Linked DNA regions of Rattus norvegicus. The protein of the gene in region 6 interacts with the protein of the main gene of each other region in a pairwise test. Links are inferred from orthologs where the notes say so. Each region holds a gene or a part of one and is shown on either strand. Other genes may lie near its edges.

Region 1 (3,571 bases), on a different chromosome or scaffold from region 6:
AAGTCCAATAATCAGCAATGCAGCCATTACTTTAGTGTAATAACCTCTAGGAACCATCCAGAGGCTCCAGGAGGGAAGAATTATATATACTTCCAGCTCAAATCAGGATTTGACATCACACAAGCATTGCTGTTTATCTTTACTGAAAAAGCTGGGTCTCAAAGAAACCTGACCACTTCCTTCCAATCTGTGATGGGTCAAAGCAGGTCTTAACTTCCGGATTTTCACCCATGGGATCGTTGCTGGTGGATCTTTATTTCACTGTCAATATTCTTGAGGTAGACAAACGATAGGCTCGGTGGCAATGACAATATTTAGTGTCAGTGGCTGGGTCTGTTGCTTCCCAGATGGCTTCTAGTTCTTTTACACAATAAGCAAGGGTTTACTTCATTATCTACACACCAGAAATTATACAGACATGGCACACCAAGTGCTGAAGACAGATATGGACACCAGTCCATTCCTCAAAATAGCAAATAACACAATCGAAATCCCAGGCATTAAATAAAAAATGGCGTCTTTTATTCATCAATCCCCATTCACACTGAAATTCATGCATCTTTCTTACATTACTTCGCAACATCCTTGCTATCCTTTCCCCCCTAAGTCAACCTGATGAGTTCATCTTTAAACTCAAGAAGTTTTTCTTTTTATTTCTGAAATGCTACTTACATGTTGTTGTCTCAATATCAAAGCCAATCTAGGAATTTATTCTTCCTACGGGTGAAATGGATGTTAATACGGGAACATGTGAGCACCTGTTCAAGATGACATCAAAGTTAGGCCCTAAGCAAGTATTTCAAGGCAATGCCATGCCACTGGTTTTGAGACTCTAAGTCTCACTGATGGTACTAAAAAGTAGGACTCAGCTTCAAAAGCTGCGGTGGATGTTACTCACGATGTTAAGATTGCTCATTTCCACGGTCATGACTTCAGATGCAGGTCTCTGCTTTCCTGAGCATTCGGTTTGACTGCCTCAGATTTAATTCCCTTTTGTTTTTCTTTTTTTCGGAGCTGGGGACCGAACCCAGGGCCTTGAGCGCTCTACCACTGAGCTAAATCCCCAACCCCTCAGATTTAATTCCTAAAGGTCAATGACAACCTGTAACTAAAGAAGCAAAATTGTTTCCAAAGGATCGATGACAGCAAAAGAGAGGTTCTTGGCATTTTAAGAGAGATACGCAGACATAGCAAAGGATAAAGGTGAGTCAAGATACACAGCTTTAATACATATTAGAAATATCCAATGTGCCACCAATACGATTCCCCTAAAACACAGCAAGTGCCAGCGCTTGGGGCCACACTCATCTGTCTTTGTATCACTAGACATCTGAATGACCAACCATCCATTTTTCCCACATCCTGCCATTCATTAAGGTATTTTCAGCCAGATTTTTTAGCAATATGCTTTTTTTCTTTCTTTCAAATACAACAAGCCACACAGGAGTTCTACTATGAATGTCCAACAACAACAGGCTGTATGGGGCCAAGCCTTTCTGAAAAACATGCGATCTCTAAAAGATTCTCTGTCTTCCCTTTATGAGTCAGCAGTGCTCCACGTCACAAAAATCGCTGCTGGTCACGGTCTTCTCTCACAAGCTCATATGTTCTCTTCATCCAACATTTTGTTGATGCCGTCACAAAGTTTCTGTAAGTGAGGTTTAAATTTTCCAAAGGGATTATACAAGGCAGCCAAAAAATCACAATCTGAAAAATGATCAAAGACGTTATTAACCCGTCCGTGAGACTTGGCGGTAAGGTGGCGCTGAATGATGTCGTGCAGGAGCTCTCGGCACTCGTTCAGCAGCCTGGACAGCACGTTGCGGTCAAAGGTGTACTCTACCTGGTGAAAGCTCACCACCGTCATGGCCAGCTGGTGCACCTTTCTCTTGAACTTCTCCATCAAGGCCAGCTCGTCTTGGTTGAACTGATTGTTCCTGTGGAGAACGGCCAGCTTGATGACCGTCTTGATGAGGTTCTTGATGACCTTCTCTGCCTCCTTCTTGTTCTGGGTGTACTCCTTGGTCACCCTGTACAGCTCATCCAGGACCTCGCTGCTGGTGTCATCGATCAGGGTGGTGGCGATGGATTTGGATACCATTTTACCCAGGATCTTCTTTTGTGCCTGAACGGCCAGGTTTTTGGAATTAAAGACATCTGTAGCCACTAGAGAATAAAACAACAGGGTAGAAAGAACAAAAGATCAGTTAACAGCAAGTAAAACAAAACCAGACAAACCTCCAAGTATTAGGAGTACTTCCCCTCATTCCTTCACTATTTACAGTTTGTTTCCCAATTACTGATATACTGTTCATATAGCCATTAAAGTTGATACCTTCCTTGAAAATAACCTTTGATTTGAAAATATTATGTTTCGGTAGTTGGGGCGATAGCTCGGAGGTTAAGAGCACTTGCTGCTCTGTAGAGGACCTTTAGAACCCAGTGCCCATGATGGCAGGCTCACAACTGTCTGTAACTCCAGCTCTATGGCGAGCTGACATCCTCTTCTGAGTACTTGCATACATGTAGCATGTGCTCACACAGATGTATGCATAGTCATATAAAAAATAAATCTAAAGATGAAATACTATGTCTCACGAGGCGGCAAAATTTTATGCCTTTTTTATTTAGCTTAATTATATGAATATTTAAAAGTTTAAGTCAACTCTATACCTATCTTCTAGGCAGTTGCAAACTACACAACTTAAACTCACTTGAATGAAAGTAGGATAGGTAACAAGGCTACAATACAGAGTACAATAGCATATTTACTCCAGCGAACCCCAAGGACAGCCCTGTCTTGTGAACCAGCTACAGAAAGCCTAAGTGCCTAAGCCTTCGGTCATCGCTCTCCCAGCCATCCCACCCACTTTGAATTTCACTCTCAGATGTCAACTTCTGAAAGGTTATACTCCAGAGAGACCTCACTGTCAGCTGCTGTTCCTGGTCCACTCTTGCTTTTAAGTTTCGAGGAAATAAGTTTAAAGTGAGCCAATGACACACGCTACATGCAAAATAGCCTCTGGAAAAGCTGGCCCCCAGAGTCGACTTCTGGAATGCTCGTGACTTAATTTGGCAGATGTTCAACGCACACAGAAGAATTGCATAAATTACAGATTAATGACATACAAAATGCTTCTAGCTTAGAGCCCCAGTGCAAACTCTCAACAAACCAACATCAGCTCCGCTCTCTCAGGATTACCCCTTCTATGTGCTGGCTGCAATATGACTGCTTGTCTAGGACTCCCCTTTTTCTTCTTCCCCTGGCTGAGGGTCTCAGAACTGCAGTACTTTGAGTTTCCAGAAATTTCTGTTCTCTCCGTACATTCCAGAAAACTTAGAGCAGTTGGCGTATAACCACTTAGTGATAAAGGTGGACAGCTCAAGGCACTGGTGATATAAAGTGATCTCTTGTTTGACAAAAGCTAGCATCAGTAGGAAGCAAAATAGCAGAACTACAAAACCCAGGCTAGGAGGTCATATATGAGCAAGTTTCATGCTAGATGTCAGGTGGAGACAAAGAGGATCCACATTACATTTAAAATCTGAATCTAAAGCAGGTTTGTGGTCT
Region 2 (4,278 bases), on a different chromosome or scaffold from region 6:
TCTTTGTCTTCCAACTCAGCTTCAGGCCCTGTGGATAAAATGGTCCTCCTGTGTGTGATGGGTCCAATTATAGCACCAGTGCTGGGTTTAATGGTAAAATGGTGGGCTCCCAATAAACATTAGAAGGAAATTAAGAATAATTAATAATTAAGGCATTTCCCTACAAAAGCTATTTCTTTTGGATCCTTTCAGCCAGCTCACAACATCTAGAAAAAAAACCTTTCTCATAAGTTTTTTTTTTTTTAAGTTTCCCATAAGAAGAAAGGAATAGAAGGAATGTTATAACGCCAGAGAAGACAGAGGTGGGCCCATCCTTGCAATGCCTGGGGGTCTGGGGGAGGGCACTCTCTAAAACTGTCACAGACCTTTGGGGGCATGCTGCATCTTGTGATGGAGGTGGCGATCATGACACAGACCTCAAGAACACTGATCACTACCACAGAGTCCCAACAAGCACAGCTAAGAGGCTCAAGTACAAAGCCAGAAACCTTGATTAAATAAGGCGGCTTTTACCCTCCATCCCACAAGCACATTCTACCCTCCATCTCACGAGTGCATGGCAACCTTGAGCAGTTTCGTGCATGGCAACCTTGAGAGGTTCCTGTCAGTTCCCCTATTTGAGGGACCGGTGGCCACTTCCTGAGGGACAGTAGTCCTACTTTGGACTTACCATGTGGTTTCATTATGGGCAGCAGCTCGGTGCAGACATTTCTAGTGGCAAAGAAGTTCGTCTTCAGTGTCACCTCAGCTTGAACGTCGAAGGGCGTTGGATCATCCACTTTGAAAGGTACAAGGAAGAAACGAAAGAGGAATTACATTTTCCTCTGAAACTCGTGTGAGAAGTTGGATCCCATCACATAGCCGCTAAAGGAGAAGCATGCTAACTCTAGAACAGTCTGGGTGAGCTTGGTGATACACACATCTGTAAACCACACACACACACACACACACACACACACACACACACACACACACACCTTTAAACTAGAACTTGATTTTTCTAAAGCTCTGTGAGCATAAGGAAAGAACTTTCTGGTCCGCATCCCAAGTTTCTCATCAGCCCCGCTCATGCCGCATCTCAAGAACACCCAGTTTTGATCTTCCCATCTCAAGCTTGAATTCAAGTAGGCGGTTCCTGGAGGTTGGGTAAAGATGCAGGCTCTGGTGCGGCAGGTGTAAGAACTCAGCGCGCGCGCGTGCGTGCGTGCGTGCGTGTGTGTGTGTGTGTGTGTGTGTGTATGTGTGTGGTGAGGGGCGCAGCTGCTGCTGAAGTTCGCATACACATGGCACACACTTAAGAAGCAGGGACTTCCGGGGCTGGGGATTTAGCTCAGTGGTAGAGCACTTACCTAGGAAGCGCAAGGCCCTGGGTTCGGTCCCCAGCTCCGAAAAAAAGAACCAAAAAAAAAAAAAAAAAAAAAAGCAGGGACTTCCAAGGCTGTAATTCACCAAATCTTCCATCCGAGGCTGAGAGTGGCTGGGGTGGTGAACTCACCCCTCCCCTTCCCGGAAGCCCACAGGCCGAGTTTGGAAATGCGAGAGTTTGGAAATGCGGGTGGAAGGGTGATTTGGGTCTCATGCAAGGCGCCTATGCCTGTCCAGGGCCAACCTGATAGATTTCTGCTCCACAGTAGTCTCCTCCCCTTGTCGGTCTCCTGGCTCTCTAAGCATTATAAGTGAAGCAGAACTGTTTGTTTCTGTTCCAGTACCTGACAACTGGGTAATTTTGCTAATTGAACGTTTGTTGGAGTAAGCGATCTTGATTTTTTTTCCCCCCTAAAGGGAGATGATTTCAAACCGCTTTAAGTTTAATAACAAACCTAGTTTCCCCTAGGAGGGGGGAAGCAGGGCTCGCTTCCTTTTTGCTAGAGCCTCCCAAAACACTCCATTAAAGCCTGTAGGAAACCCACTCACTATCCCGTGCCAGCGCGCGCTAATTGTGTCCGGGAGACCCGTTTCCTGTCCTCAACAGATGTCTCCTGGGATCTATGAATGCGCCCTTGTTTCACGCAAAGCTAAAGCTCCAACCGGTTTTTTTTTTTTTTTTTGGAAGACCCTTCTCTGAGAAAAGCTTTCGTGCGTGGGACAGAAAGCTGATGAGTTTGGCAAGGCGTGGTCCCCTCCCAGGAGGCTGGTTTTCTTGCAAACAGGCACAGCTGAAAGTTCCAAGGAGGGCCTCCGGCAGAGCACAGGCCGGCACAGGCCGCCGGCCGGGTGGGGCGTGGAGTGGGACGCCTGGGCGTGCCCTCACCCGAGTCACCCACCGCACGCGGGAACACGCCTCGCAGGGCGGGAGCCGGACGCACCCAGGCGGGATGGCGCAGCCTCCGGATCGCGGAGGCTCGCTGCCCTGCACCCTCGGAGAACCCCGGACACCTCCTCCTGGAGCCCCACACCTACTTCTAAAGGCGATGCCCGCATTGTTGACCAGCACGTTAAGTCCTCCGTACTCCTTGCGCAGAAAGTCGCGCAGCGCGCGGATGCTCTGCGGGTTGTCGATGTCCAGCTGGTGGAAGCGTGGGCTCAGGCCCTCCGCCTGCAGCTGCTTCACCGCTGCGCGGCCCCGCGCCTCGTCCCGCGCCGTGAGCACCACGTCCCCCGAGAATTTCCGACACAGGTCACGCGTGATCGCGAAGCCGATGCCTTTGTTAGCCCCAGTCACCAGGGCCACGCGGCTGCAGGACGACATGTCAGAGGGACACACGGACCACCGGACTGTCAGACCGGCTGGGCAGCGGGTCACGCCGTGGTCAGAACCCTGGCGTAGGACTTGATTCTGGAACTGGGCGCTGCGACTGCTAGAGAACAAGGCCTGAGAAGTCGGTCCCTCCCCTCCAAGGAGGAGCCCTCGTTCCTGAAGGGTCCGCCTCCTCCCGCCTGCCCGCCGGGGTAGAGATCCTGGTTCAGATTTAAGCCTTGGGCAGGGACAAGCGCTGCTCCCAAAGGAAGGGGTCAGTGGGACTCGTGGCTGTCGGATTGAAGCAACTATTTTGGGGAAACCTCAAAAGGAGGAAAATAAGTGATCCGTAATTTTCTTGGGCGAGAGCCCGTCGTTCTATGCAAATGCAAACGTTTGCTTCTACCGAACTAGCACTGAGATTACTTAACATTCACACTCGCTGCTTGCTGAGGGACTTGAGGGAACAGTGCCTGGGAGTAGACTGAACAGGTGTGGGCGAGCTCTGCGCGTCTGGAGGTCTCGGTGCGCCCCCACGTGGGAGAGAAGGCTCATGTAGTACAGGAGCCCTCCGTGCCCGTCTTTGGTCTTTGGTTTATTCTAAGTGTACATGGGCATGCAGATAGATCTGTATTGGTCTAGGTCTATGTGAATTGTCTTCCAAGGAGATTCTGAACCTACGAACACAATTCCAGACGCGTCTAAATGTGGGCATGCAGTCAGACCTCCTCCCTTCTTGAGTGGAATCCAGTCTGTGTTGATCCTACTTGGCTAGTGATTCTGAGGTTTAAGGCCAATTAAATCCTCACAGTGATTCAGCGTTTCCCAAGCAAATCCGGTCAAACTGCCTTCGCCTCTTGTTTGTTGACTCCACCTTCTGTTTCAATTAACCCCGCCTGAGGTCTGGAAGATGCTAGGCTCTGTGGGGGCCTGGCATGCCTGTGATGGTTAACTTGAGAGGATCTAACCACCTAGGAGATGGACCTCTCTGTCTGTCAGTCTGTGAGGGAGTTTCTCAGGCTGACAGGGTATGAGACCCACCCTAAGCTAAGCACGGTTCCGGAGCTGGGATGCTGGACTGAGTAAAAGGGAGAAAGTGAATGAGCCAAGGCTGCTGCTCAGCGGGTAAAGGTCACAAGGACTAGAATTCAAATCCCCAAGATCCACACAATGTCAGGCAGGGCAGCTGGTGTGTAATCCCAGAAGCAGGATTGCCCAGGCAAGTTGGTTAGCCAAGTTGTCAAGGTCTGAGTTCAAGTGAGAGATTCTGCCTCAAAGAATCAGGAAGAGATGAATGGAGGAAGACATTTGTCAATGTCTGGCCTCTGCACACACGGGTACATGCCTCCAGCCCTGCACCACACACACACACACACACACACATATACACACATACACACATATAAACACACACGCACACACATGCACACACACATCCACACACACACAAATACACATAAACACACACACATAAACACACATACACACACATACACACACATACACACATGCACACACATGCACACACATACACACACACAAACACACACACATAAACACACATACACACACATACACATGCGCACACACACATGCACACA
Region 3 (4,263 bases), on a different chromosome or scaffold from region 6:
AACTTAAACTCAATACGGCAAATACTCTCAGGAAAAGTCCTTCAGTAAATGGTTAAGACGCTTCCTAAAGACTAGAATGATACATAAACCGCAGATGCTACTGATTCATTCTAAACTCCTTACTGACATTGTAAGTCTACAAATGAAATTCAGAGGCACTTCAACTTGCCCATTCTGGTCTAAATGTCTAAAACCAACTACTGTAGAGTCTGTAAGTAATGATTTTGAATGTTTAAATGTAAAACATGGACAACTGATACCCTTTTCAAGGAAGACATCATACTAAAGCATTTTTTTTCCTAGTTCTAAAATGATCTGATTTCTAAGTACAGATATCTGACTAGGGCAATATGTGAAACAGTAGGGACTAAGAAATTCCGGATTTTGCTAGTCATTTGCTGTGTCTAACGAAGTACTCAGGGGAGTTATGGGCACAATGCCTCACCCACCTATCTCAAGAATTAGGTAACTTACACAAAAGTGTTTTTCTCAGTTACAAAGCGTATACAGACAGAAGGCATTACCTGCCGACGACAGCCTACGACGTATCTTGGTCCGTTTGTTGCTTTAACAATGACTGGAAGAAGAACAATTGAAAAAGTTAGAAAATGGGGTTGGGGATTTAGCTCAGTGGTAGAGCGCTTGCCTAGCAAGCACAAGGCCCTGGGTTCGGTCCCCAGCTCCAAAAAAAAGAAAAGAAAAAAAAGTTAGAAAACAAATACATCTATGGTGAGTGTAGTTTTACTTCTGACCTCCAAGAACAGTAAATACAAAATTTAGCTTATGTAAAAGACCAACTCCTTGTATTGTTGTTACTAAAATACTAGGCACTTCAGGGCTATCCTGATAGCTTAATAAATAAAGGCACTTACACCCAAGCCCATTGATCTGACTAAAGCCAAGCCTTGGGTCCTAGCTTACATGGCGGAAGGAAAAAACTAACTCCCACAAATTGTCCTTTGATCTCCACAGTTATGCACATGCACATGAATGCACACACATATGCATACACATGTGTGCATAGGGACAGAGGAACACACACACACAAATAATAAATGCAGTAAGAATTAAAATAGCCTTTCATAATGGCACACATGCCTAAAATCCTGGCACTAGAAAGCAAAGGCAGGCAGATCTCTTTGTGAGTTCAAGGCCAGCCTAGTCCCCATAGGAAGCTGCATCCAGAGCTACATAGTAGTTAGTACCTGGCCTCGAAAATCAAAATAAAATGGGCATTTCAAAAGTTGAGAAGGTAAAATAAATAAATAAATAAATCTTTTTTAAAAAGGGGGGCTGGAGAGATGATGGCTCAGTGGTTAAGAGCACTGACTACTCTTCCAGAGGTCCTGAGTTCAATTCCCAGCAACCACATGGTGGCTCACAACCATCTATAATGAGATCTGATGCCCTCTTCTGATGTGTCTGAAGACAGCGACAGTGTACTCACATACATAAAATAAATAAATAAATCTTTAAGAGTTGAGAAGGAACTGGGGCTTTTTGTTTTTTTAACTAATTAGTAAGTCAATCCACTTACACTTTTCTTCTGTTAACTGTTTAAGCACTTCGCCTACAATCTGAAAAAGAAAAAAGGTGCATTATCTCTTGCCAGTAGTTTAAAAAAATGGCAAAACACTTTCAAGCTGTATCTATCACCCACCTGTCCAACACTTTGTAGTGCCTTCAGATCATTTTCAGACTTTTCATACTGCTTGGTAAGTTCTTTTAATTGTTCCCTTACTGAAATAATAAAACGTTGACACTTTAAATTAAAACAATAACTGCATTAAAATTTTTTACTTAGGTCTCTTTTACCTTCTGTAGGTTTCATACCCACAGTATCAAACCACGAAAAAAGAATTTGCAGTTTGTTAATGGACAAGTGGCATGTTTTAAAAGGAAACGTAACAGAGAAAGTACCATATATCTATTTTCTTGGAATGAAATACTTGAGCAGAGGCATTTTTAAGTTACATTCTTAACAGATAGTGATAGTCTTGCCACTTTCAGATTTGCTACAAAACTAAATGATAATTGGTGAATCAAGCCTCCCATAGCTACACTACCTGGCTTACTCTCTGGTTGTCGATATAAATAAAGCCAACCAACGCAATTCTTCACCGAATCATAGGCTGCGGTATTCTCTCGTTTAATTAAATTACGCAGGCTTTTCAAAACGCAAATGCTCAAGGTGTACGGAAACTTGGCACTTAGTATGAATCCCGAGGAAAGACGAGAAGGGTTATCACAACCACTGCGTCCTCTCTACTCCAAGTGCAAGCCTCCTCCAAGAGTCCCACATCCTGCTGGAGCTTCTTTGGCTCAAAAGTCCTCCCGTCCCCAGGTCCCGAGACTCCAACCCTGCCTTCCTTGCACCTGGGATATGTCCCCAGCCCACCTGTTCCTCACTCCTCTAATCCTCCCCTTCCCTTCCACCTCGGAACTGTGGCTGTTCCCTATGCCACCGGACTGGGGCTGGGGCCATACCCACGGCCGAGGCGGTGCTGCACCCCAGCACGGGGCGGGATGACAAAGCGCCTCGTCCCTGGACTCAGGCCTTCCCAAGCCGGGCGCTCTGTTTTCGGGCTCTGCCGAAGCCTCCACTCTATCAGAGACGGAAGCCGGTCCAGGCACTAGAGAGTGTGTCAAGGCTCACTCACGCTCCTTAAGACGGCCGTCAATCTCCTTGTGTTCTAGCAGCTTCTTGCGGTAGTCCTGAAGCGCCTTATCTCTAGGGTCCGCCATGATGAGAAGCCGTCGCTCATAGGGGATGCCGGGAAGGGCCATAGCAGCCCGGGCGGGGGAGGGGGCGGGGCGAGGGCGCAGAGGCGGCCTGGGGCGGGATCGTGGCTGGCTCCGCCCCTTCCGGCTGGCCCGCCTCTCGCTCCCGGAGCCTGAGTATCTTGAGTCACCTAGAGTGGCTGAAAGCCTCGAAAACGCTGAAGATGGTCACACTGTCCCCTGCAGGCCAGAATGAGCAATGCCGGACGCAGCTACTGACTGGCTCAATATTAAGTCACTGCTTTCCTAGAACGCCAAAGGCTCTGTAATGAACTGAAAAGGAAGAGGAAATGACAAGACTATTTTTTTTGAGACAGTGTCTTGTAACCCAGGCTGCCTTGTCACTCACCACGCAGCTGAGGGCTTGAACTCTGGTCCCCCTGCTTCCTAGTGAAATTACAGGCATAAATCGGACATTCAGTATGTGCTATGTGGAAATCGAATTCAGGGTCTCCTGCATGCTAGGCAAGTGCTTTTCCAACAGTTACATTTCCAGATTCAGCCTTTTTCTTTCCCAAATTATTTATTCGTGTGTGTGTGTGTGTCTAACTCAGGAGGGCAAGTGTTCACAGAGGCCAATAGAGGGCACGAGATTTTCCGGCTCTGTAGTTGCAAGCTGCTGTGATTTTTTTTTTAAATCTTATCTATTTTATTTTATGCATATAAATGTCTTGCCTGCATGTATGTGTGTACAGCACGTGTGTGCCTGGTGCTGGAGGAAGTAAGAAGAAGCCGCATGATCCCCTGAAACTAGAATTACAGATGATTGTGAGCCACTATGTGGACATTATTGCTCTGCCAAGAGCAACAAGAGCGATTACCCTTTGAGCTATCTCTCCTGGCTCAGTGACTATGTTATTGACAGGTTGGGAGTGTAACATTCGTAGAGTGTTTACCTAGCACACAGAAGGCCCTGAGTTTAACCCCAGCACTCTAAAAGGAAATTAATACACTCCACAAACACACAGAGATCTTAAGGGAGAGCTGGAACCACTTTCCAGCCCCCAGATGCAGCCTGTTCATATCAACTGCATGGGCAGAAGTAAGCAATTTACAGCTACTCAATAAAGTACTCACCTCCTTCTGATCTAATAAGGACATGAAAAATGGCTTGAATAGGGGCCAGAGAGATGATGGTTCAGTGGGCAAAAGAACCTGCCATGGAAGTCAGGTGACCTGAATTAGATTCGTGGAACCCACCTAAAGGTGGTATGAGGGTGCACATGTACAGATGCATAAACGATAATAAATCATAAAAATATCCTAATGTAGTAAATGCTACAATTGAAATAAAAGAATACTATGGGGTAAGGAGGAGAATAAAATTTGAAAACATCTGAGATGAGGTGGTGCCCCGCTATGTCAGCACGTGGAGAGCCTTCTGAACAGATTAAACAGCAAGTGCAGTGCGTGACTCTGAGGTAGAGGGGAGCTTGGCTCACGTCTATCAGGGAAAGGAGGCCAGCAGGACTGGAAGGAAAT
Region 4 (4,273 bases), on a different chromosome or scaffold from region 6:
CCGTAGGTGCAAGCTCAGCTCCCCAGACTCTGGGAACCCCTGACTGGAGCAGGGAAGGGTGGATCTTAGGGTACAGGGTGTTTGCGGGTGCCCACGGTGCAGTTCCATGGCAATTCTCACCTGACATTCTGCGTGGGGTTCCACCGCTCTGAGGGTAGCTCCCCACTCTGTGGGTCATCAACTGGGGGATGGAGGATGGAGATGCATACGTCCCCTGTCTGCAAGAGTGACCAGGGTTAGAGGAGGGGTGGGGCATGTGCAAGGGAGGCAGAGAAGTGTGTGGTGGAGTGTGCCTGAAGCAGGCCTCTAGTGTCTTACCTCATAGATGTTTGGGTGCCACATCTTGGTGAGGAACCGGAAGGCTGGTGGGGAATATGGGTAGTCGATGGGGAACTTGAGGCGAGCCTACAGATGGCAGAAAATGGGGTGGCTCAATGGCAGGCCCCCGAGCACTGCTGGAGTCAGGGGCTGTGCCCACCTGCCGCTGGTGTACAGGCCCTGAAGCCAACTCCAGTCTTTGTACACCAGTATACACACAGCACACCTCTGTGACTTGACATCCAGGTTAGGAAAGGCAAGGCGGTTAGGAAAGGTGTGGGCTAGCTAGAGGAGTGAGTCAGCAGGTCTGCCTGGCCTCAGGCCTCCCACCAACACCACCCAAGCTCAGGGGCCCAGGCCAAGAGTAGTCACCAGACAAGCTGGAACCATCTGCCTGGTCACAGCAACTGCTTGTGGCTGAAGCTCACCCTGCCCACTGCCCCGACCTTGGACAGATAGAGAAGGCCTGAGATTTGCCCTAGTCTTGGAGCTCCCCAAGGACAGCTTCCAGTGTTCTGCCTGGCGCACACAAACCTAGTGTGGAGTTGCCACCCCGATCCTCTCAGGAGAGCAGATGGGGAAGGTGGCATTGCTGGAACAACACCCCACACTTCTGGGGCTCCAGATGCTTCTAAGAATGAGCAGACTGAGGCTCAGAACAGGAAGGGTTCTCTCAAGTGAGACAGGCTGGGCTGTCCAGAGAAGCTCCTCACAGCTCCCCTCCTACAGAGACTCCCCACGTCTCAGTCACTCACACCATATAGGAAGCTCCTACATTGGCGGATTTGAGTGACATCATGCAGGGCCTCCTCCTAAGCTACCTCAAGAACAATGTGAGCCTAGGAGGCTCTACCCACAATCCTTTACGGGCAAGGAAGAGTTCAGGTGACCCTGCTCTGAGCACCCCCCCCCCCCCCCCCGCAAACACAGGAGACAAGGTGCTAACAGCATCTGCATGTCCTGAAGGCGGCTCAGTTCAGACCACCTCCAGGTGGGAAGCGAGGGTGTCCACATGTGTCTCCCTCCCGTTCTCCACATGCTGTACCTGGAAACCCTAACTCAAACATTCCCCTGCATAAGGAGACTTGTGACTTTCCTAAGCACTGACCAAGAAGGGTGAGGACATCAGCCACAAAGGAAGACGCAGAACAAATAAGTGCCACGGCCCTACATCTGGGGCCCCAGACTGGCTGGGGTTTGCGTGCACCTTTGGCCCTAACATAAGATCCTGTGATTCTGCTAGTTCTAGTCCATGGCAGGCAGGATGATTCAACTGTGCTGACATGGGTACCTATACCTGGCCAAACATACTCAGTGTTGGGGGCTGCCTAAGCCTCCCTGCTCCCAACCACAAAAACATCTGGTGCATTGAGCCTGAAGCCACCAGAGGGCAGACGACACCCCTTAGAAGGAAAAATCAGGCCCCTAAGACTCCACCTGTTCAGTGGAACCTGAGAAAGGCTGTCAGGGTGGGGCAAACAGAGAGCTCTAGGGTCCAGGGCCCTTGGCAGGAACCCAAGGTGTGGCTCCAAGATTCAGGGTGGGCCCCCACCACCCCCTTGAATGCATTACGTGAAGCCTGGCCAGTGCTAAAGGTGGCTGTTGTCCAACAGGCACGGCTGCCAAGGCCCTGCCAGGGCCTCTACTGGAACTGGAGCAGGTGGCTGTCCAGGCTACACGTCTCTTCCCTGGGGACACATCGGCCAGTGGCTGCTCTGGTTGTGTTCCAGGGTAGGGGACAGGCCTGGGGATGTCAGCCAGCAGCTGCCCGTGGTCCTTTATGTCTTGAGATATGGACAAACTAAGGTGAACCTTTTCAGGTTTCACCACATGCTGGTGGGGTGAGGGACAACCTGGGAACATGCTTGCCAGCAGAGGGCTCCAGATGCTTCTGCGTCTTGTGGTGGGGAGAACTACACCGGAACAAGAAGGCCAGCAACTGTCCCTGGGGAGACCCTTCACCAGAAGCATGTTGGAAGAGTGGGGACAACACGGGGAGATACATCCCCAGGTACATGCTTAGTCCAGTGCACGACAGCCTGGGAACACACTGACCAGCAGCAGGCTCTAGAGGCCCCTACGTCTTGTAGTGGGGGTCTGCCTGGGGGTGCGGCATACATTAGCTGTCTCTGGTCATGTAGCCTGCTGGAGAACAGTATAGGGAGACCAGTCCCCGGGGTGAGGTCAGCACGTGCCCAACAAAAAAGGGAGGGGCCGCTTTGCACGAGGGGCCTGAGCCAGCCTGGGAGAGAGGCAGGCACAAAGAGGAAACTGAGGCTCGGCTCACCTTGAAGTAGCCGCCCTCATAGTAGGTGTTGGGGGGTCCGAAGATGGCCACCTCCCAGTTGTACAGGTCGCCCTCGTCCACCAGCGTCACCCGGAAGCCCTCCACCGGCTCCTCCTGCAGCCCCTTCAGCTCCAGCAGCAGCGCCTTCTGCGAGCTGGGCACCAGCGGCCGGGCCATGGCGGTGACGGCGGCGGCGGCGGAGGGGCCCGGGGCCGGGGCCGGGCCGGGCCGCGGGACCGGCGCGAGCTCGCGGGACGGACCGGGTCGCGCGCCGGCAGGGGGAGAGCCGCCGCCTTCCTCCTCTGCGCCGCCGCCGCCGCCACCACCCGGGGACCCCGAAGGCTCCACTCGCTCTGGCGCCGCTGCCCGCCCGGCGCTCGCTTCGGCCCGGCCCGGCCCGCGCCTAACGCGCCTGCGCGCCGCAGCCGCCGGGCCTCGAATGCGCCTGCGCACCGGCTCCCGGCCCCGAATGCGCCTGCGTGCCTCCTTCGGACCCCGAATGCGCCTGCGTGCCACACCCGGGCCCCGAATGCGGCTGCGCGCCGCTGCTGCCGGGCCGGAAATGCACCTGCGCGCCACTGCCGGGTCTAGAATGCGCCTGTGCGACGCCTCCACCGGGTCCGGAATGTGTCTGCGCGCCCGCCCGCGGGGCACGCCGGGAAGTGTAGTCTTCTTCCCCCGCCCTGCCGCGCAGGCGCCTTGCGTTTCCGAAGCCCCGGAGGCCGCCGTCGCCTCCGGCCGGAAGAGCTCCGCGGATGCCTGTGTGCGGAGTGGCGGGCAGGGCTGGGCTGCGCGCTGCGGAGTGGCAGCTGCGGCTTTGGGGGCCTTTTCTGTGACGTCAAGGGGGCGTGGTTGTGGGTGGGGAGTTGGGCGTGGCTTGTGCGGGAGCGGAGCAGGATCCGCCCTAGTTTCCCATCATGAAGCTATGGATGTCCCTATATTGTCTCTATGGGCTCAGGTAGAAGGAGGGCCCACAGAATCGACGATTTGGGGTTTGCAGACCTGGCTTCCAGCGGGTGGAGTGCTAACCTCTACCCTGGGAGGACTCTCATGTCAGGCTGTCCTTTGACCACACCCTAGTCCTGCTTAAGCAGTGGTGAGGCATCCTGGAAAGTTACAGGAGCGGGAACAGACACGCAAAGTCCCCGAGGTTGACCGGCATAGACACCCACACTCCTTTCTTGGACATTTGGTCATGAGTATTGAGGTGGCAGCATATTCAAGCCTTGCAGACAGGTGTGTGGTGTACCCGTGACCTCTAGGGGTGGGTGGTTCTGGCCCTAGGCTGTGTTGTTCACACAGCTGGACTGTGGGTGTCCTGAAGGACTACAGCTGCATCAATAACTGGGGCTGGGAAAAGGCAGCTCCCCCGCCCCGTAACCCCCCACAGGTGTGCCAACATCCTGTCCTGGCTGGGGATATCAGGCAGACCTGTTTGGGGATAGGGAAACAGTGTCAAAGGTGGGGCTGGTTGATGTGACCAGGAAGAGCCAAGGATCCAATGCCACTTGCCTGTCCTCCCCCTGGGAACTCTGGGCCCTTGGGCTAGAAAGCTTTCTGGTCATACTCCTTTTTCAAGGGCTTCCAGTATCATCTGTTCCCTGTTGTCCAGGCCAGATTGCCCACCTTACACTGTCACCTAGTTGTCAGCACATAGCAAATAGCCCA
Region 5 (4,300 bases), on a different chromosome or scaffold from region 6:
AATTACCTGCTGAGAAATGATGGTAAGAAAATATTAGGTCTCTGTCAACATTACGTCTCCCTAAGAGCAGAATACTTAACTGCAAGTCAAAGCATACAATAGCCTATGTCAAAGAGTTTCAGGCGGCTGGTACTGATGTTGCGGGGCAGGTTGGCCTGGGCTGTGTCAACTGTGCCTGCAGTGTGTTCAGAATGATGGCTGCAGTGAAGTCACGAGATAAAACTGGGAAATGCTGCCAGAACACTTCAGAGTCATTTTGTATTTAATTATGAAATAATTTTTAGTGATTACATTTTAAGAAACTTTTACTAATGCCAAATTTTTAAGGAATCCACATTCATTCAGTTATATGACCCACAGTTTTAAGAAGTTAGGCCTTAAAATCTCTTGATACCTGCTTTCCTTGAGGTCTTGAAAGCAGGAATCTACCGTTTTAAGTCTCAAGCCTCTTTTTGAACGAGCGAAACGCATGTAATTAATGACTTCATTTTGATGGTGCTCATTTAGGCCCAACTCTGCCTGAAAAAGAGAGAACTGGTTAGTCCTGAGGAGATGACAAAAGAAATGACAACAAAAATGAACAAGGTAATTTGTTGGGCATGGTGTACTGGCACCTGCCTTTAATCTCAGCACTCAGGAGGCAGAGGCAGGCAGATCTCTGTGCCTTTGAGACCAGCCTGATCTACATAGTGAGCTTCAGGACAGCCAGGGCTACCCAGAGATACAGTCTCAAACAATAACAGTAACCAGTGATGCTCATGATACTGTGTTGTAGTAACTGATAGATGTGTATCAGGTTGCCCTCCTGTCCTCTCCCTACCCAGCTACCTTGCAGCCAAATACACTCAGGTCACATGACTACTTCTCAGGAAAAGAAGGACTCCAAAGAGGTGTGGGGTATTTTTCAAAGACTTAAGATATGGGGTATACCTTATACCTCTGTCATCTCTAATGTCTCTGAAAGTAGGCAGAGTAAGTAACTAGGATGAGCCATGCCATTTTTATGCCCCAGGGCTGGAAGAACAGAAGGATGAATAAGACCTCGGTCTTCACCTCATGGAGCAGCACCGACTCACTCACTAATCTGTATGAGATGGCTGCTGCGTGAGGGGAAATGAATGCCTGTATTCCTTATTCACTGATTTTCAGATCGCTACAGAAATGTAACCTTACCAAATACAGCCTTAAAAGGTATATCTGGCTTGAAAACAGATACTATAGTCTTCTTAATAAACCAGATATTGTTCTAAAATTAAGAAGCTGCATAGATAAGTGCAGCTCTCAGACCCAATCAGCTTAGCCACAACCAGGATATCATCCCTCTGTCCCCCTGCAAGGCTCAGAAACTATCTTTGAAGAGGGAGCAAAAGACAAAAACATCCGTGGGGAGCGGACCAAAACCATGCCTTCTTTCTGGGCAGTGGTTGCACAAGCCTTTATTTACAACACTAAGGAGGCAGAGGCATAGGCATAGGCAGGTGGATCTATGTTTGAGGCCAGCCTGGTCTACAGAGAGAGATTCAAAACAGGGCTATACAGATAAACCCTGTCTTGAAACAGCAACAACAAAGATGTCTTCTAGACATGACAGAACTGCTGAACTAGGAACTCCCAACTGTGGTTGCCTGCACGAAGTCAGGCCAATTAACAATCCAGCATAGAGACACGGAGGGATTTATGAGACCCCACTTCTAGCTGAGGAGTTACCAACAGTTGATTTATGAAGGGTAGAGAGTCAGTTTCTTTTAAGAGTGTGGCCCAAGAAAGGTGATGGTCCCACACATATGAGTACATGGGCAGCACAAATTGGACTAGGTAGGCTTAAAAAAAAAAAAAAAAACAAACAGGGCAGGAAGTGCAAGATAATTCTGAAAGAATCTGGGGGAAGGATTTTAAGTACATTGTATGAATGTATAAAATCTTTAAAGGATAAAAATATTTTTAAGGTTGGGGATTTAGCTCAGTGGTAAAGCACTTGCCTAGGAAGCGCAAGGCCCTGGGTTCGGTCCCCAGCTCCGAAAAAAAGAACCAAAAAAAAAATTATTTTTAAAAAGGAAGAGTGGGCTTATTGCTTAAAAATTTTATGTCTTATGTGCTTTGTTTAGATGAATCATTGTATCAACCCTTGTATAACTTTCAACTTATTAATGAATAATCTACACGGTTCCAAGTGGTATCAAACTGACAAAAGAGTAAGAACACAAACAAGTACTAACTTTTTTTTGTTACACCACTAGCAACTTTTTCTTTTTTCGTTTTTGAAATCAGGTGAAACAAGACCAGTTCTAAGCTCAGAATTGTTTAAGAAATGGTCTGTTTTGTTCAGATGTGTACAAAGTGACACATCCTTCAACTTCATTTCCGTGCTTTTATCTATGTATGGCTATTTAAATTAATTGTTTGGTGAGAGGTTGGATGAACTGGTGTTTTCAGTCTCAAGGTAAGCCCGAACTCTAATACCCAAATAGTCTTCAGAAGTCCAAACAAAGAAAACACCACCCATATTTAATCAGCTGTAAGGTGCTTCAGAAAGTTGGAACCAGCCCCTAATTCTTCATACTGGCAAATGCGTGCTGCTGTGAGGGCCAGGGCTTCCCAGACCACACCAGGGAATGGGGTGACAAAGCCGGAGAAAGGCTTCAGCGAGGACGCTCTCACCGCGACTCGGCCGAGGTGATTCCAGCCTCCCTCCCCAGCGAGGCCCCGCTCGTCGTCCGCTCCCGGGCCGGGCCCTCTCCCGACCAGGATACTCACCATGGTTGTGGAGGGATCAGACAGGAAACAGGGAGGCCAGCACTTGGGGCCTGAGGAAAGTAGGTTGTTTAGAAGCCGCGGGTTGCCAATGGGAACGGAGACACGTGGGCCCTCGGTTATACACTATCATTGGCTCTTAGTGTCACGTGACAGAAAGTGCTGCGTAACTGGCTAATTTCTTCAGGTACATTGGCTTTGAGATCCGGAAGTCCCACCTTTTCTTGCCACGCTAACCTGGGGCGGTGCCTGCCGTTGCCAGTGGCAACAGAGAAATGGGGCGGGGTTCCGGGGGGTTGGGGGCTGGCTCGAGGTGCCAGCGTGTTTGCCTACGGTCAGGACAGAAGTTGGGCTTTGGCACCAGGATCCAGAGCGATTCCGGACTTCGGCACCCTCTGAGAATAACCGGCTGAATGAACAGGGCTTCAGCTAACAAGCTAGTGCTGGCAATGATGCATGCCCTTTCTCCATCTGCATTATTTTATAATGCTGACACAAGAGACTAACTTTACCTTTTAAAAAATGTACAAAAACATAGGTTCATATAGAGCAGTGAATTAGAGAGACAGACACTAGATTCGCCAGGAGAAGGTTGTAGAATAATGTCCTGATCTCCCTGGCGAACGTTTTCACTTACGAAGTCTAGCTTGAGTCATTAGAATTTGCAAGTTTAGCCTTGTTCCAAAGTGATGACCACCTCTAATTAAGACACTGTCCTTGGTCTGCCATGATGGTCTTGTCTTTAACTCCAGCACTTGTAAAGCAGGGGCAGAAGGATCTCTGTGAGTACAAGGCCATTCAGGGTTACATAATGAAACCCTGTCTTAAAAAAAAAAAAAAAGACACTGTCCTATGAAAGACAAGTATAGAAAGAGGTTATCGCAAATATTGGGTACCCTATCTGATGAGCATACAGCCACTATAGGCCAGCACCATATCTTTTGAGGAGGCACTGAGTAAGCCAACATCATGCAGAACTGCTAGCCTTCTGAGCCCGGGAGACTTAAAACAGGAGGGAACAAACATTTAACATTAGCTCTGAGTTATCAAAAGTTAATTTTGATGGTGCGTTTTGAGATTGTCTTTCACAGTCAGTACAAAGTAGAGTATAAAGTGAATCACAGTTGGGTGCTTTTAGATGCAGAAGAGTTTTAGAGACATGGTTCCAGAACTACTTGGAGAGGAAGAGACTGAGATTCTACAGACTGGAAAGGTAGATGGGGGCTTTGATGCTTGAGTCTTAAAGCAATATAAATGTGTTTTCAAGACAAAAAAAATCAAAAGACTATTGCCAGGTGTTCTAATACAGTGGACATTAAATATGATTCTAGTTTCAAGAATCTTCTTTCATTTTTGTCATTTTATTCTATCTAAATAATATTATTAGTCAGAAAACAATAATTATCACAGGAGCTAAGCTTAATTTAAAAATCAATTTGAGGGCTGGCCGTAGGTTCAGCAGGTAAAGGCACTTCCTGACAAGCCTGATTACCTTATTCGATTTTCCGGATCTACATGGCAGAAGAGAGCCAATTCAGGACTGTTGTCT
Region 6 (3,500 bases):
TTCACGGATTCGTTCCTTTCACTTACTTACTAGGTGTGCTATGCATAAAGTGTAAGTTGCAGGATGAGCTCTCCCCACCACGTGCGCCAGGACCCCACCTAGGTGGCCGGGATTACAGGCAAAACTTGGCTCTAATGTGAAAGACCCACCAGAGAAGCAGTGAGTGGGGGTTCATGAGGCCTGACTGGACGGGAAGGCACAAGCTACAGTTAAAAAGGCCTCGAGCTCTGCCTGCAGAAGCTGTCATGCCACTAATGCTCGCTGACTGACTTTCTGAACGTGCTCTGTTTACAGCAGGAAAGTCTGCAGCTCTACCTTCCTATTAGTCCAACTCCATTCAAAGTAACTTTTTAAATCATTTAAGAATATATCTAGCCAAAGATGTGAAAGCCCTTTCTGTAAGTGACAGATTCTCCCAATGCAAAAGATACTGAAAAAGGAAACCACAGAAGTTAATTGATGATGGCAAGTCCAAGCAACTGGATTGGCCGAATTATTATAAAAATACCTTTACTACAACACAATTAATTTGCAGATTTAATGCAATACCTATCAAAATTCTAATATTGGACTTTACAGGTTTAGAAAAAAAAGCAAACCAAGAATTCCCTTGGGCCCTTAGAAGAGTGCAGCGGGCCAAAGGGATGCTGAGGAGCGAGGACGCTGCTGGGGCTGCCATACTCAGGAGCAGAGCACCCACCGCTACAGCCTGAAGAACTCTTGGGGCTGGTGTAAACACAAGACCACCGCAACGGAGTGAGTGCACGAAAAGATTTGGCAACAAAAGCAAAATCATATAATGGGGAAAAAACAATTCAAGAAACAACACTGGCAAAACAGATTCTACCTGTGGATGAGTGAAATTAGATTCACTTTGTACTAAAATAAAATAAAAATGGACCAGAATCCTAAATCCTAAATGGCTCCAACTTCTAGAAGAAACCACAGGGACACCCTTCAAGCACTTGAGGTTGACAACAACTCTGCGTAGAGCAGCAACAGTAAAGGGATGAAGCCCAAGATTCAAGATGGGACCACATGGAAACAAAATATTTCTGTACACCAGAGGAAACAATCAGCACAGCAAAAGGCCACAGCATGGGCAGCCTTTACCAAACTTCAGACAAGCTGCTAACACCCAGAATTTATAAATAGTTGCAGAAATTACATACTAAGGAAATAAAGTCACCAATCAACAGACGGTCAAATGAACTAATAAAATATTTTTTCAAAATAACTTAAAAGGTCCAGTAACTATGTTAAAAAGTTCAGCGGGGAGGTGGCACATGCCTTTAATTCCACCCTTTAACCTCAGCCCTCGGGAGGCAGAGGCAGGCAGATCTCTAAAGTTCAGGGACAGAACAGTCTACAAAGTGAGTTCCAGAACAGCCAGGGCCACACAGAGAAACTGTCTCAACCTCTCAGCGCACAAAAACTGCTCAGTCATCAAGAAAATGCAAATTAAAACTACTTCAAGATACTACCCCTCCACTCATCAAAATGACTATTATCAAAAAACAAGGGTACAAATTAATATAGCCACTAATAAGTTTAGAAGCTTCTCAAAAAAAATAAAACACAAAAAAAAACAAAACAAAACATTAAATTAGCACATGGCCTTACTACTTCACCCCTAGGCACACACTACATGCAGAGAACCCCACAGCCTGCTGCTGACACACTTGTGCCCCTACACTTAGTCCTGCTTTATTCACTACAGCAATGAGCTGGAGTTAACCGAGATGCACTTTCCTCCCAGTCGGAACCTAGCCAATAGTGTATGCACATAAACAAAGGTGCACACGATACAACATGGAAAGCAATACGGTAAAGGTTAGGGCAAAGGAAAGGACTGAATGCAGCTGGTCCACACTGAGTTATAAAAGAAGTTAAAGTGATTTCTTTTCTTTCATGAATTTGCTTATAGTTGTGAGTAACTCAAAAAATACATTCTAGGGTGGAAATGTAAAATCCACCATGAAGCTCCCTCCACAGCTTCTGTTCCGGATAGCTGTACATCAGTACAGAGGTTCCCTGAGATTCCGGATAGATGAACATCTGTACAGAGGTTCCCTGAGGTTTATAATGTTTGAGTCTGGTGAATTCCAACATGTGATGTCTTTGTATTTGCAATGTTACTGCTTTTTTTTAAAAAAAAAGGCACAGGTGGGCCTGTGCATGTGAGTGCAGGTGCCTATGAAGAAAGGAACAGATATTACAGGCGGCTGTGACCCACCCTATTGGGTATGGGAACCAAACTGGCCAGACCTGGTCCAATTTTTATGAAATTCTGCTTTACACATTAAAACAATTTTATGGACTTTTCCATTTTTATTACATTTAGGAATTTAATAAACATTTTTTGATCAATGTCACTTTTACTCTCTCAGAGTGGTGATACTGGTCTTAATACTTGTGGGAGCTGGGAAGAAAAGAGGCAAATCATTTTTGTACAGTTTCCAGGTTAAAAGTAGACCACCGACCATGCAGAATGACTCATCCTCTTTTACTTAACTGCACAACCACCCCAGACCAGATTTGGTTTCAAAACTGAGTCCTTAGGAACTCTCTGACATTTAGTCCTCATGACAAGGGGCCCTGGCACTGGACGCTTAGGCAGTGTGCTACAGAGTGAGGCCACAGCCCTTCCTACATCAGTTACTCCTGATGCATATATAACCTTTCCAGAGAGAGAGACAGGAAAGCTTGCTTAGAGGACAGATTCCCAGACAGGGTGGTAAAATGTATATGCAAATGTAGACTTCTATGAAAAGAATCTAACTACGTAAGAAAAACACCTAACAGCAAGATGTAATAAATCAATATTTGCCTTAAAAAATAAAAAGTAGACAACTCTATTTAAATATGGGCTTGCACTTCAGTGTCACTGGTGGGGAGCAGCTCACCTATCACGAATGGTCATGGTAATCTTCTCTCCAAAGGCCTGCTTGAGCACCTTGTGTGCCTTATCGGAGCTCCAGCCGGCACAGTTTTCACCATTGATCTGGAGCACCTGGTCCCCAAATCGCAGCCCAACCAAGGAGGCTGGGGAATTAGCCTGGACTAGTTGAACAAATATACCCTAGAGAACAAGAAAATAATTTATCACTGCTACATGTAACTCCAGTTTCTGGGGACCTGGCATTATTTTCTGACCTGTAAGGATACCAGGCATGTATATGGTGCACAAATATGCCGGCCAACACTCAACACAAACAATTATAAAAACAATTAAATGATAGTTTGGGGTAACAATTCCGTATTTTTTTAGCTCAAAGGCCACTTTATTCATCTCTTAAAATAATCAATAAAACTGGGGATAAACAATAGCAACAACAAAGTACTTCTAACAATAAACTCCCAGGACACACACACTTATCTTGAACTTCTGTTGGTTCAATCAGACTTTGAACCGAGCACAAGCCTACAGTCTGTGGTGGACCAGACATGAGATCTGCCATGAAGCAGTAGCAACAGGCAGCATCCCACTGACTGACCTG
Region 7 (4,215 bases), on a different chromosome or scaffold from region 6:
AGCTCACAGCCTTACTTCCAAGTAGACCTGGGTTGTAGAAACCTTCCCAACCTACCCAGGCACATGCCAGGCTTTACACATCAGGGGTTCGCAGTAGCCCTGCATGCCTTAGTAAATCTGAATCTTTGGAGGAAATTTACAAAATAATAGAAGGGCAAAGAAAGGCAAAGACTCCCTGTACTCAAAAGATCACTTCTGTTCTCACCCAAGGTGAGCGCTGCCTGGCTTGTCAGACGTTAGGGCTCAGACCGCTTCTCAGTCACCTCACACCACAAATACCTCAACTGACAGCAGTGCCCCAGTGGAGTCCCAAAGCGCCCTAATACTGTAAGCACAGATGTCCAAGGAGATTGAAGCTCCTTGTCCACTGGCCAGATTAATAAAATGACAGCCAAGCCAAACTGAAAATTGGTCTTGTCACAGCTTCCCGTGCTCGGAGATGGAGCCTGTCTTTCATGTTGGTTAATAAAAGAGGGATTTTCCTTGCCCAAACCCTTCAATAACACTTAATGTCTCAGCCTGCACCTCTGGTGCCCCCGGGGGAGAACAACAGGACACAGCATTAGAACTACTGCAGGATGGCTGCACTAACACCAACACGGAGGGCCGCTGTTGCATACTCAATACATGCTGAACAAGGTTCTCCAAACATCTCATCTACAACCCAAGCCTCATGCCTCACACTGCTAGCCCTTCGGCAGCAGAACCCTTCTCCTAGAAGCCTTCCCAAGTGCCAGCCAGGCTACACAGTCCACCTCTAGGGCTAACGCTACCTTCCCGTGGCCAGCCCACTCCATACTGCAAGCTCTGTGGAAGGTCCACCTCACGTTATCTTAGTCTCAGTGCCTAACACTGGTAGGAAGAACAGCTTCACAAGTGCCAAGATAACGTGGTGACATGCCAGGCTCAGAACCAAACCTTGCATGTCTGTATATTTCAGCTGAGAAGGCCGATCCTTACAACAGCAGGAGCTAGCCATGATTGCAATGCAATCCGCACAGCTCTGACTCAAGCCCACCCAACGGCCTTTGCTTCCACTGCTTCCAGGATGGAAACAGAAGGGGGGCTTAAGAGGGTCAGAGTTTTGTGGGTGGAAAAGATTAGAGTAAGATATGGAGACAGACAGAAGGGACAGAACTTTACCGGTGTGGTACTGTACCTTTAACCATAGCATTCAGGAGGCAGAGTCAGGAACCCTGAGAGTTCAAAGCCAGTCAGAGCTGCACAGTGAGACTGGAAGGAAGGGCAGAAGGAGGGACGGAAGAGAGAACTAGAAAACAAACTGTGAGAGGAAACTAAAGCAAGCCAAGATCCTGGCGAACAGGATTTATCTATGCTCCTTCAAGCAGACAACCGTCCTGTTCAAATTCTCATCTCTCCCTAAAATCCCCGCAAGGTCAAGCTACCAGACATCTTTGTTAAAATCCTAGCACAGGATCTTAGACTTAGGGGCAAAATGACATTAAGTTGGCCTATTTGAAAGTAACAGTCCTTAGCCAGGCCTGGTGGTGCACATCTTTAATCCCAGGGAACTCGGGAGGCAAAGGCAGAGGCAGAGGCAGGTTAAGTCTCTGAGCTCCAAGGCAGCTAGGGCTACCCAGAGAAACCCTGTCATGAGAAACCAAAGAAGGAAAACAGAAAAGGAAAGGAAGTAAAAGCCCCACTTACCATGTGCCCGAAGGCACACCGAAGTAGAAATGGCTCTCTTGCCAATTAGGCTAAGTGCCCTGGTAGCCAACATTCTGAAAGATAAAAAACGTATATCCCTAACAATGAGAGAAAACACCTTTTAGCACAAGTCTTTTTGCCACAGAACATTGAGGAAGTAAACGCAACTTATTCCCCCAACGTTAAAAAAAATTTTTTTGGTATGATTTCATCAGCTTTTTAAGGCACAGGCTGACCTTACCATATCTACCTCATAAGAGCTGGCATTGCAGGCCAGAGGCGTGCACCCAGAAGCCAGTTTTTATTACTGAGGAGAAGGCATGAAATAGCACAGGATAAGGTTCTTCTACTCAGTACACATTTACAGAGCTTCCTGATATCAAACCAAGGGCTGTGATATACATACATGGCTTTGGCCACTTACTAGAAAACGCAGCTTTTTAAAGATTAACTAGAAGGCCAGAATGACTGAAACTGCTAGAACTCGGTATAGCACGGTGCCACCACGAGCTGTTCCTCTCTGTGGCGGTGGGAGCACCGCCTGCGGACTTGGTTTTATTTTAAAAATCGACTTGCGCAGAGACTGCGAAGGACAAGCGGAGGAGGCCGCCCAAGCCCTAGCCCTGGCGCGCTTCCCGTCCCTGCGGCCCGCAGGCGACCTGGATGACCCTGTCACCCGCCCCAGCGACCCGAGCTCCACGCCTCACTTTAACACAACCCCTCTTGATTTCGCTCCCCGAGAGCGAACGCCCGAGACCGCAAAAAACAACGCCCGTGGCGGCAGAAACCGTAGCGTGACGTCAGGACTCAGCTCGCTGTCCCTCGGGCCTGGCGGAGCGGGAACGCCCGATGCTGGGCAGGCCGGAACCGAACGGCAAATGGGGACCCAAGACAACAGATCCGCCCGGGAAGCGGGCGCCCCAAGGTCACGGAGCTGCTCAAGTCCCGAGTCCGGGGGCGCCTCGGAGGCACCGCTCCGGCCCCGGCGCTCCAGGATCTCGGCCCATGGCCGCGCCGCCCTCACCCGCTGTCAAAGGCCGTCACCTGCCACTGCTGCCCAGGCGACCGCCGCGACCGCCCTCTACACCCCGGGTGCTCGCGACCGGAAGAGCGGGTCCCGCACCGGAAGAGCAAGACGGTGCCGCGAAGCATCGCGGGAATCGAAGAAGCCCCGCCCACGTCCATCAGCTTCAGATCGCGGTGCGGCAGCTGTCGCGAAAGGCCGAGCAGGCCGCGCTGCTTTCTGGCAGACGCTAGCTAGCGACTACGCTTTCCGGCGGGCGGACTGAGGCGGGAGGCTGTAGCTGGTGGTGGGAGCTCATCTTAGCGTGCAGTGGGGTCGTGTTTCGTACTGTGGTGCGTTGGTCGCGACGCGACCAGCTAGGCTCAGCATGCCTGGCGTGAAGCTGACCACCCAGGCCTACTGCAAGATGGTGCTACACGGCGCCAAGTACCCGCACTGCGCCGTCAACGGGCTTCTGGTGGCAGAGAGGCAGAGGCCGCGCAAGGAACATCCTCCCGGCGCGGGCAACCACACTCTCTTCGTGGACTGCATCCCGCTCTTCCACGGCACGCTGGCTCTGACGCCCATGCTGGAGGTGGCGCTCACCCTAGTAAGCTCGGGGCCACGGCGGGGTTCTGGGCTGGGCGAAGTCAGGCGCCCTTCGAGGGAGGAGGAGCGCCTGCTCCCGAGTACGCAGCCTAACGAGCGAGCTCTCGAAGTTTCGTAAAATTACCAAGAAACCGAGTGTGGTGTACATTCTTAAAGGCAGCGCTCGGGATAGGGAGGCAAGCGGATCCTGAGTTCGAGGCCAGCCTGGTCTACATAGTGAGACCTGGGATGGCTAACGTTTAAAGTTTAAGCTTAATGTGCTTGTGAGACCACAGAGTGGGGAAGATGCCTATAGCATGTGAACCTCTAGTTTTACAGACTGTATTTTGTCGGCCTGTCCCCCCCCCCCAGAAGCTGAAGACTATTGTAAAACTTGCTGTTTTAGCAAGATTATAAGTCATAATACCGACTGCTATTTCTGCTTTTGTAATCAATCTTGCTTCCTCTGCTCAAGAGACAGTTGCAAGACCCAGATTTATAACTTTGTGGAGTTTGCCTTTATAAAGCCCTAGATTGCTATGGCCAGGCGCTACGTCTTGGGAGCTCTCTCAGGTGCTGTCCTGAGGCACCAGAGATACAAATCTGTCCTGCTGCCAGTATTAGAATTAAAAGCTTCCGGATGTAAAACAACCCACTCTCAATACAGCTTCATTTACATCTCAGAATGAGCTCTGGATGTAAAACCTGAGCTGGCACGGGAGGAAATGCTAATATTGTCTCCCCCTCCCGCCCCCAAAATGGCTGCATTGAATCTCAGACTTGCTTTGAATGTAGCCTCACACTAGCCCCTGACCACCAAAACTTCCTGCTCTAGGTTCTTGGGAACTGGGATTGCAGACATAACTAGCATTCCTTGACATCTTATTTCTTCTTTTGATTTTTGGGAGTCAAGGTTTCACTTTAGTGGGCTTGGCTGGTCTGGGACTCTGTAGAAT

Evidence for each region.
Region 1: the proteins of Sdcbp (region 6) and Tnfaip8 interact in binary tests that used the Homo sapiens proteins (3 or more experiments, as listed by UniProt). The two-hybrid records come from large-scale screens. The link is inferred for Rattus norvegicus from reciprocal best matches to the Homo sapiens genes SDCBP and TNFAIP8.
Region 2: the proteins of Sdcbp (region 6) and Cbr3 interact in binary tests that used the Homo sapiens proteins (3 or more experiments, as listed by UniProt). The two-hybrid records come from large-scale screens. The link is inferred for Rattus norvegicus from reciprocal best matches to the Homo sapiens genes SDCBP and CBR3.
Region 3: the proteins of Sdcbp (region 6) and Psmc6 interact in binary tests that used the Homo sapiens proteins (3 or more experiments, as listed by UniProt). The two-hybrid records come from large-scale screens. The link is inferred for Rattus norvegicus from reciprocal best matches to the Homo sapiens genes SDCBP and PSMC6.
Region 4: the proteins of Sdcbp (region 6) and Cdc34 interact in binary tests that used the Homo sapiens proteins (3 or more experiments, as listed by UniProt). The two-hybrid records come from large-scale screens. The link is inferred for Rattus norvegicus from reciprocal best matches to the Homo sapiens genes SDCBP and CDC34.
Region 5: the proteins of Sdcbp (region 6) and Lztfl1 interact in binary tests that used the Homo sapiens proteins (3 or more experiments, as listed by UniProt). The two-hybrid records come from large-scale screens. The link is inferred for Rattus norvegicus from reciprocal best matches to the Homo sapiens genes SDCBP and LZTFL1.
Region 7: the proteins of Sdcbp (region 6) and Cox4i1 interact in binary tests that used the Homo sapiens proteins (3 or more experiments, as listed by UniProt). The two-hybrid records come from large-scale screens. The link is inferred for Rattus norvegicus from reciprocal best matches to the Homo sapiens genes SDCBP and COX4I1.

Annotation. Positions count from the first base shown.
Region 1 is NC_086036.1:45,482,966-45,486,536, reverse strand, and holds the end of Tnfaip8 (tumor necrosis factor alpha-induced protein 8), read right to left. Parts: intron 2,167-3,571; coding exon 1,601-2,166; 3' UTR 501-1,600; downstream 1-500. UniProt on the Homo sapiens protein: Acts as a negative mediator of apoptosis and may play a role in tumor progression.
Region 2 is NC_086029.1:46,476,817-46,481,094, reverse strand, and holds the start of Cbr3 (carbonyl reductase [NADPH] 3), read right to left. Parts: upstream 2,801-4,278; 5' UTR 2,690-2,800; coding exon 2,401-2,689; intron 779-2,400; coding exon 671-778; intron 1-670. UniProt on the Homo sapiens protein: Catalyzes the NADPH-dependent reduction of carbonyl compounds to their corresponding alcohols. Has low NADPH-dependent oxidoreductase activity.
Region 3 is NC_086033.1:21,020,851-21,025,113, reverse strand, and holds the start of Psmc6 (26S proteasome regulatory subunit 10B), read right to left. Parts: upstream 2,801-4,263; 5' UTR 2,788-2,800; coding exon 2,661-2,787; exon of another isoform or gene 2,488-2,660; intron 1,741-2,487; coding exon 1,661-1,740; intron 1,578-1,660; coding exon 1,538-1,577; intron 578-1,537; coding exon 525-577; intron 1-524. UniProt on the Homo sapiens protein: Component of the 26S proteasome, a multiprotein complex involved in the ATP-dependent degradation of ubiquitinated proteins.
Region 4 is NC_086025.1:10,670,808-10,675,080, forward strand, and holds the start of Cdc34 (ubiquitin-conjugating enzyme E2 R1), read right to left. Parts: upstream 2,801-4,273; 5' UTR 2,783-2,800; coding exon 2,606-2,782; intron 406-2,605; coding exon 319-405; intron 219-318; coding exon 121-218; intron 1-120. UniProt on the Homo sapiens protein: E2 ubiquitin-conjugating enzyme that accepts ubiquitin from an E1 ubiquitin-activating protein, and catalyzes its covalent attachment to other proteins by an E3 ubiquitin-protein ligase complex. In vitro catalyzes 'Lys-48'-linked polyubiquitination.
Region 5 is NC_086026.1:132,234,734-132,239,033, forward strand, and holds the start of Lztfl1 (leucine zipper transcription factor-like protein 1), read right to left. Parts: upstream 2,801-4,300; 5' UTR 2,758-2,800; coding exon 2,755-2,757; intron 520-2,754; coding exon 395-519; intron 1-394. UniProt on the Homo sapiens protein: Regulates ciliary localization of the BBSome complex. Together with the BBSome complex, controls SMO ciliary trafficking and contributes to the sonic hedgehog (SHH) pathway regulation. May play a role in neurite outgrowth. May have tumor suppressor function.
Region 6 is NC_086023.1:24,307,999-24,311,498, reverse strand, and holds part of Sdcbp (syntenin-1), read right to left. Parts: intron 3,083-3,500; coding exon 2,907-3,082; intron 1-2,906. UniProt on the Homo sapiens protein: Multifunctional adapter protein involved in diverse array of functions including trafficking of transmembrane proteins, neuro and immunomodulation, exosome biogenesis, and tumorigenesis.
Region 7 is NC_086037.1:65,628,968-65,633,182, reverse strand, and holds the start of Cox4i1 (cytochrome c oxidase subunit 4 isoform 1, mitochondrial precursor), read right to left. Parts: upstream 2,801-4,215; 5' UTR 2,713-2,800; intron 1,743-2,712; 5' UTR 1,742-1,742; coding exon 1,669-1,741; intron 1-1,668. Other genes in the region: Emc8 (ER membrane protein complex subunit 8), read left to right, coding at 3,060-3,281. UniProt on the Homo sapiens protein: Component of the cytochrome c oxidase, the last enzyme in the mitochondrial electron transport chain which drives oxidative phosphorylation.